Drosophila melanogaster: one gene and its partner. The protein of the gene in region 2 purifies or fractionates together with the protein of the main gene of each other region. This does not show direct contact. Each region holds a gene or a part of one and is shown on either strand. Other genes may lie near its edges.

Region 1 (4,635 bases), on a different chromosome or scaffold from region 2:
TTTTTTACCACCTTGCAGTCTCTCGTCTCGTCGACGTTTGTGATGCTCATCATCGCTGGTCAGGTAATCGTTTAGTTCCCGCACCAACATGGGCATTAGTCCTTCATACAGCATGAGTTCCATGCTTAAGTTATCATATTGGAAGTTGTAAAGTATGTGAAATAGCTGTTGGGTATGAAGAAAGCCATTATATATAGCAGATGTCAAGAGGGATTTGGTTTCCATCTCACCGATGATCGCTCGCTCTGCGAGTTGGAGTCCCGGATCATGGCCACCAGCTTGCGCAGTGCCCCACATCTCCGGATCTTCGAGCGGCTGCAGGCATCGGTGGATAGCGTCAAGATTATGTTGATGCAGTGCCGGCTCTCGCTTTCGCTAAGTGGCTTTGCCATGTTCACAGCCATGAGCATCTCGCAGGCAGCCACAATGGCATCCGCAGTGCTCAGCATGTAGAAGGCGAAGGGATCCTTGCAGAAGTTAGAGAGGATTTTAAGGGCAGAGGCCCGTTGGTCGCCGTCCTCCTTTACGAAGCACACAATGGAGGCGAGCGAGGTATTCCAGGAAATGGACTAACAAGAAATGTTTATTATGTACTACGTTTTGGAGAACTTAGAAAACAGTCTCACCTCCCAAACTTTCAGTCCAATTTGCTGCGCGGATATCAGGACCAGACACTTCAGAATCTCGAGGGCCAGCTCAACGGCCGCTTCATTTTCCTTGGGCAGCGCATAGTCACAGTTCCTTGTGGAATTCTTGAGCATCTGGTGGTCAAAGATGTCACTGCGAACACCCTCCAAATTCCGGGCTACCTCCTCGAAATACTTCTCACGGTGCTGGTTCCTCTTCAGGCCAATCAGCGTGGACATCTCGATGTCCGGAACGGGCTCCTTGGATGCCTCTTCGTTCTTCATCACGGCCAGAAAAATTCGCATCAGCTGCTGGAACCCATTGGCCATGAGGAAGTACTTCAGGAACTGGCTGCTGGCCAGAAGGAAACGGCAGACGCGGAATGCCATGATGCGGGTCTGCACCGCACTGGTGGACTCAATGATGTGGCAGATGGCCGGTGCAATGGCCGCATAGTGCACTGTGAGACACTGGGACGCCTTCTTGCTCTTGGCGATGTTTCCAAGCATCCGGCAGGCGCGGCACTGGATCAGGGGATTAGGTATGGTCTTCAGAATGGTCACCAGCGGGTGAATCACCTTGCATTCAACAGCCTTAAAGTGGAAAGTTTTAAATTTTTTTAACCGTTGTGGTTCAAAATAAAGATAAAAATGTAATCTGATAATCCCACCTCAATGCAGGACTGTTCGTCGGTGCAGCAGTTCCCCAGTATGCTCAGTACCACCTCCATTATCTTTTCATTCAGCTTGGTGATCAGTCGCACCTGGAAGACGCAATTAATAATGATTTAAAAATCGATTCGAATAACGATCCTATGTGAGCGGCAGTGGCTGTCAAACCACCATGAGCGTTGTGACTCCCAAACCCACCATGATGTGAACGCCCCCAGCAGTGCGAAATAAAACAATGCCATTTTTATCCTTCACCAGATCGGTGCGCAGCTTCACCAGGCATTTGTAAATGACTGTTCGATCCGTGGAGGTCTTTAGCACTTCCAGCATGCTCTCCACTTGCTCTGGTGTCCAGAACATTGGTAATTTTCTTAATTTTTAAACAAATTGAAACAATTCAACAAATTCTACAGTGCGTCTCAAACCTCTTTGAGAGTGTGACCGTGCATAAGAGCGTATTTTACGGTATTTTACGTTATTTTTCGAAAATCCAGCAGCGGTCTGCCTTATTTATAAACTGATGTTTACGTTTTAGCTTTGGATGCGAATTCGATTCTACAATAATAAATGGAAGCAGGCCTGTTTTTTATGTAGATTATACAAGTTCCCACAAAATTACCTCCAAGCTTTTAATTTCAAATTATTTTAATATTTTTTAAAACCCATTTAATAATTTTTCCTATATTTATTTACTTTCTTTGTTTACCGTAATCGTGACACGAGGGCTGAAGTGTCATCACCAAATCAGGCGCTATTTGGTGTTTTTCAACTGCCAACAACGGTCTTACAGAATTAAAGACAAAAACGCAATCGACTAAAGTAATTAGTTAATAACTAGCTGTCTTTGTTGCGCGTAAACACGGACTTTCCCCAGAACGAAGCTAATTTGCCCAAGTCGTGCATCCAAGCTTTTCACAGATTTGGAAAAACCTGTTTCGCAGTGCTTGTGACTCATCAGTTTTCGCAGGCTCAAGGAGAGAACTTAGCCATGGACGCCACTAACAATGGAGAATCCGCCGACCAGGTGGGCATCAGGGTGGGCAATCCGGAGCAGCCCAACGATCACACAGATGCCCTGGGCTCCGTGGGATCCGGAGGAGCGGGTAGCAGCGGCCTGGTCGCAGGATCCTCGCATCCTTACGGCAGCGGAGCCATTGGGCAGCTGGCCAACGGGTACAGCTCACCCTCGTCCAGCTACCGTAAGAATGTAGCCAAAATGGTCACCGACCGCCATGCAGCCGAGTACAACATGCGCCACAAGAACCGCGGAATGGCACTGATCTTCAACCATGAGCACTTCGAGGTGCCCACCTTGAAGTCTCGCGCGGGAACCAATGTGGACTGCGAGAATCTGACTCGGGTGCTCAAGCAGCTGGACTTCGAAGTGACCGTGTACAAGGACTGCCGCTACAAGGACATTTTGAGGACAATCGAGTATGCAGCGTCGCAGAATCACAGCGATAGTGATTGCATCCTGGTCGCCATCCTGTCGCACGGCGAGATGGGCTACATCTACGCCAAGGACACACAGTACAAGCTGGATAACATCTGGAGCTTCTTCACGGCCAATCACTGCCCCTCGCTAGCCGGCAAACCCAAGTTGTTCTTCATACAGGCCTGCCAGGGCGACAGATTGGATGGCGGAGTGACCATGCAGCGTTCTCAGACGGAAACCGATGGCGACTCCTCGATGAGCTACAAGATTCCAGTGCACGCCGACTTTCTGATCGCCTACTCGACGGTTCCTGGATTCTATTCGTGGCGCAACACCACCCGCGGCAGCTGGTTCATGCAGAGCCTGTGCGCCGAACTGGCGGCCAATGGCAAGCGGCTGGACATCCTGACCCTGCTCACATTCGTGTGCCAGCGGGTGGCCGTGGACTTTGAGTCCTGCACCCCGGACACTCCGGAGATGCACCAGCAGAAGCAGATACCCTGCATAACCACCATGCTGACGCGCATTCTGCGTTTCAGCGACAAGCAGTTGGCACCAGCCGGACGGGTTTGATGGCTAATGGTATGGATCAAACGGTGGGTACGGCGAGGTGTGTGATAAACCAAGTCGCAATTAAGTTAGAACCTCATGGGCTATCGGCCTTGCAGCATATTTTTTATACAACACTTTTTTAACCTGCCCAATTGCTCGACGAGATTGGTGCCACTGCCCGTTTTATTTTATTTAGGCACAAAGTATCTTTCGATTGACATTTATTAATGTCGCATTTACTCGTCTGTATTTATATTTTTTGGGGTGGGTAGAGTAGATCGATTTAACTTAGAAATCTAAGAGGTTTTTACTCCGGCCAAAATTTTTTGACAATTTTAACTTGCCAACTGAACAAAGACGATCTCAAAATTTTAAATTCTCTACTAAACCTTATCATAGAACAACTTGCGCCTCTTTGATTCTCGATCAGGAATGTCGGCCCACCCTTATCTATATCTACCTTAGACCATTTACAGACAAGACCTTTTTACAATTTTATACACATAGATATCTTTATAGTATAAGCCTGTGTGTCATGGTCGTCCAAAACGAAAACAAACGATTTTAGCCTGTAGTCGAGTGTTTTATGAACAATATATACTATTTCTATGCCATTTGTACTCTTATATAATGCACATTAGCAAATGTTCTCCTTTCAAGTTAACCGCTAATAAATCCGATTGAAAACAATGAGAAATCAATGACCATTGGCTGTTTGCTGTTGACCCTGTCGCCTCTTTTGGGCGCCAAGTTGAGCGGCATTTCCCGAAAAGGTAGCACGCGGAGACGGAAAAATAGACGAGTCCAGCCATTGGCTGACCCTGATCGTACGATTTCAGAGCTTACAATCACTTTATTCTTAGAGCTGGACACAACGAGAATAAATTCCAATTTATAGTTCACTTAAAGCACACGGGTATGGGTTGAATTCAGAGAAATTTAAAGCCTGTCAGCAAATCCGACTCTCCGGCTAGATAAATGCACGTTTCTGATAACTTTCGACTAATTAAAAACGTAGAATATGCGCTCACAATTTTCTAGTTGAGGAACATCTAGATGTGGCCGCCCTCCTTTAGCTTGGCCACCAGGGCATCCACGTCGGCGACGGTGGCGCCGGCCTGGCGCACAGGAGGATCCTCCACGGAGATGACCTCGATGCGGGGCGAGGTGTCCACGCCGAGATCCTTGGCCGTAACCTTCTTCAGCGGCTTCTTCTTGGCCTTCATGATGTTCGGCAACGTGGCGTAGCGAGGGGTGTTCAGCCGGAGATCGGCGCTCAGCACAGCCGGGGTCTTGGTCTTGATTGTCTCCAGGCCACCATCAATTTCACGCGTGATGGTCAGACCGGCG
Region 2 (3,375 bases):
ATACATATTTAATTATCTCGCAGCCCGCTGACGTAGAAATGTAACTAATAATCAATTTTCAACGGATCATCCTCCACCCCTCTTAGTAATCTTTCAATCATGGGTTTGACGCGCGTGCTGGTGAAGGATGGCGGTTTCGGCACCCAGATGACCGTCCATGTGGGTGACTCTGTGGATGGGGATCCGCTATGGAGTGCCCGCTTCAATGCCACCAATCCGGCGGCCATTATCAGCACCCACCTGGACTTTTTGCAGAGTAAGCAATTGTTTTCCGGTAGCAATTGGCAACATACTAACTGAATTTTCCCCTTGACAACACCAGATGGTGCCGATATCATTTTGACCAACACCTACCAGTCCAGTGTCGATGGTTACATGGAGTACCTGGAGCTGGACGAGGAGCAGAGCATCGAGCTGATAAAGAACACGGTCCGCCTGGCCCACATCGCCAAGGAACGCTATCTCACCGAGTGCTATCAGGCGCAGCTGTCGGTGCAGGAGGGTAAGTTGACATCCATGAGGTCCAGCTCGGGCGGGATTAATTTAGATTGTGGTCAAGTGAATGATGTGGTAGGGTCATTACTTTTAATACTTTCTTTAATACTTTATTTTATATATAGTAATATTTACCAATTATATATTCCAATTTATTGTTTTTAAAGGATACCCTTTGATCATTGCCTCCATTGGACCCTTTGGGGCCCACCTGCACGATGGCTCCGAGTACACCGGTAGCTATGCCGACTTTGTGCCGGCCAAGGAGATTACGGACTGGCATCGCGTGAGGATCGAAGCGTGCTTGGAGGCTGGTGTGGATGCGCTGGCCATCGAGACGATTCCCTGTCAAATGGAGGCGGAGGCCCTGGTGGAGATGCTGTGCGATGATTATCCGGATGTGAAGTTCTGGGTGGCCTTCCAGTGCAAGGATGAGAATACCCTGGCGCATGGAGAAACCTTTGCGGACGCGGCGAATGCTATTTGGGACCTCTTGGCTGAACGAAATGCCCAGGATAAGTGCCTGGCCATCGGAGTAAATTGTGTGCATCCGAAGTTTGTGACCCCGCTCTTTAAGAGTTTGAATGGTGACCGCGAAGTGGGTGAGCAGATACCGTTGGTGGTGTACCCCAATAGCGGAGAGGTATACGACGTGGTCAACGGCTGGCAGGGAAGGGAGCACTGTGTGCCCTTGGCGAACTACGTTCCGGAGTGGGCGCAACTGGGGGCCAAGGTCATTGGGGGATGCTGTCGCACTTATGCGAGGGATATACGCCACATCGGGGAGGCCATTCGCGACTGGAACAAACTGAAGAAGCTCTCATAGGGATGAACTTCTAAGCTGGGGATCTCAGTACCTTCGAAAAGAACAAAGTAGTTATCCATTTAGTACTGTAAATAAATGTATTTAGTTATTAAGGCATACAACTTATTTTAATAAAACAGAAAAGACAAAAGACAAAAAAATACTTTTTAATTTTCTAAGATCCGAGATAAAACATTAATAAACAAATTGCTCTTAATTCAAATCCCTCAAAAGTGACGCCTTCCATTTTTTTCAAAAGTTAAAAAATGTAGTAATGGCATTCAATGGATTTTTGCATCTCATGAGTAAAATAATTTAAGGAGAATTTGAATTCTAAATATGTGAGACTTCTAACCGTAATGGGCACACTATAAATCAAGCTACAAAAAATTTACATAAATTAAGTTCTCCTTTTTCGAAATGTATTTTTTTACACGTGAATTGTGTAGAGATGGAATGATGGAGAAAATACTATATTTGTAATAGTGTGGAAAACAATCGATGGTCATCGACAGTACTATCGATAGTTGCCAGTCGTACCAACGCCGAAAGTGACAGCCAAAAAAGAGAACCAGCTGTGGAGATTTGCAAAAATTTCGGCAATTTTGAATTTGTACAGGAGCGCCTAGTTAAATACACACAAAATGTTGATCAAAGTGAAGGTTAGTGTGGAAGATATGGAGTAGCAAAAAAGTAGGATAAAGATAAATCACAGCCATCGTGCCCAGCGGGCACTTTGAACAACAACAAAATCGTCGAATATTACAGTCAATATATGTGTGGCTGGATTATTAATGTAAATATGTATTATCTTTCCATTAGACCCTGACCGGCAAGGAAATCGAGATCGACATTGAGCCCACGGACAAGGTAGATCGCATCAAGGAGCGCGTGGAGGAAAAGGAAGGCATTCCGCCCCAGCAACAGCGTCTTATTTTCTCCGGCAAGCAAATGTGAGTCTTTCTGGCTATTGGTCATTGATTTTAGCTTATTTCGCATGCGATCCCCCCCAGGAATGACGATAAAACCGCGGCGGACTACAAAGTGCAAGGTGGATCCGTTCTTCACTTGGTATTGGCTCTGCGAGGAGGTGATTCAATCCTAACACCTTGTGTGTAACTAGCGTGTTCATAAGTGGAAAACATTCATTTAAAATTCACTCAAATATATTAAGCTTGAGAAGCGTCATATGGAGAATTAATATATGTAAACTAAAAAGAAGTCTTAAAAGTGGTTTAGAAGAAAACAAAGTGTATTCGCATCGGAGGAATTTAGACAGAATGGATTGGGGCCAACCGGGTCCGTAATAAAACATGTTTTTTTGTAAGCCAACATCTAAATCATTCGAAAAAAAGAAGAACACTCCACAATGGTGGGCTAAGGTTTAAAACATATCAAAAAGGCATTTATTTTGTCTCAGTGGCAGATTGTAAGTTCAGTTCTGTTTAACAAAACGTCCGACTAGCAGGTGATTCTTTGGCGTACACTGTTCGGGCTTTAAGCGTGTGAGAATGACCTGGTAGCCCGCCTCCTCCGCCTGCAGCAGGCGATCGGTGTCCACCACGGACATGCAGTGGAGTCCTTGAAGCGTGGTTTCTGGCTTGCAGTTGGTTGTCCCCATCTCGTGTGCCTGATCTGCCGAGTGGGCAATGTACAAGTAGTCCTTTGTGTCTAACACCTTTTGGAACGCTTTGCTCAATGGGTACGAAATGTGAGGCATGGGCTGCAGAGAACCGTAGCAGCAAGGACAGCAAACAAAATGTGCCTTGGCTCTCCGGCACTGCTGCAAAACGATATCTGTCGCCGTTCCACACGCGTGCAAAGAGGCCCCGATCTTGAATCCTCCGACAAAGTAATCTATGTTGCATTGGTAAAAAACGCAGTTGGTCAAACCCAATTCGTTTGATCTTTTCTGAGCTTGAAGCAGGGAGAAAGCTTTGTTTTCCATCACAATAATGGTACAATTTGGCAGCTTGAGGGCCAGCAGTATGGCCAAATGCCCTGTGCCGCTGCAGAAGTCCACAATGCGGTCGCCCGGTTGAGCCAGGGAAACCACCGCATTGGCCAAGTTCTCT

What was found.
Region 1: the proteins of Nedd8 (region 2) and Drice purify together in Drosophila melanogaster (affinity purification with western blotting, with the first as the bait; one study listed by BioGRID). This does not show direct contact.

The regions. Positions count from the first base shown.
Region 1 is NT_033777.3:29,797,612-29,802,246, forward strand, and holds Drice (death related ICE-like caspase), read left to right. Parts: upstream 1-2,046; 5' UTR 2,047-2,286; coding exon 2,287-3,306; 3' UTR 3,307-3,973; downstream 3,974-4,635. Other genes in the region: Rnb (R and B), read right to left, coding at 1-165, 231-569, 627-1,220, 1,298-1,390, 1,497-1,658; Etfb (electron transfer flavoprotein beta subunit), read right to left, coding at 4,338-4,635.
Region 2 is NT_033779.5:18,950,285-18,953,659, reverse strand, and holds Nedd8 (Nedd8 ubiquitin like modifier), read left to right. Parts: upstream 1-1,822; 5' UTR 1,823-1,944; coding exon 1,945-1,962; intron 1,963-2,122; coding exon 2,123-2,253; intron 2,254-2,313; coding exon 2,314-2,419; 3' UTR 2,420-2,654; downstream 2,655-3,375. Other genes in the region: CG10621 (uncharacterized protein), read left to right, coding at 100-256, 323-502, 663-1,321; CG10428 (uncharacterized protein), read right to left, coding at 2,736-3,375. UniProt on the Drosophila melanogaster protein: Ubiquitin-like protein which plays an important role in cell cycle control, embryogenesis and neurogenesis. Covalent attachment to its substrates requires prior activation by the E1 complex Uba3-Ula1 and linkage to the E2 enzyme UbcE2M.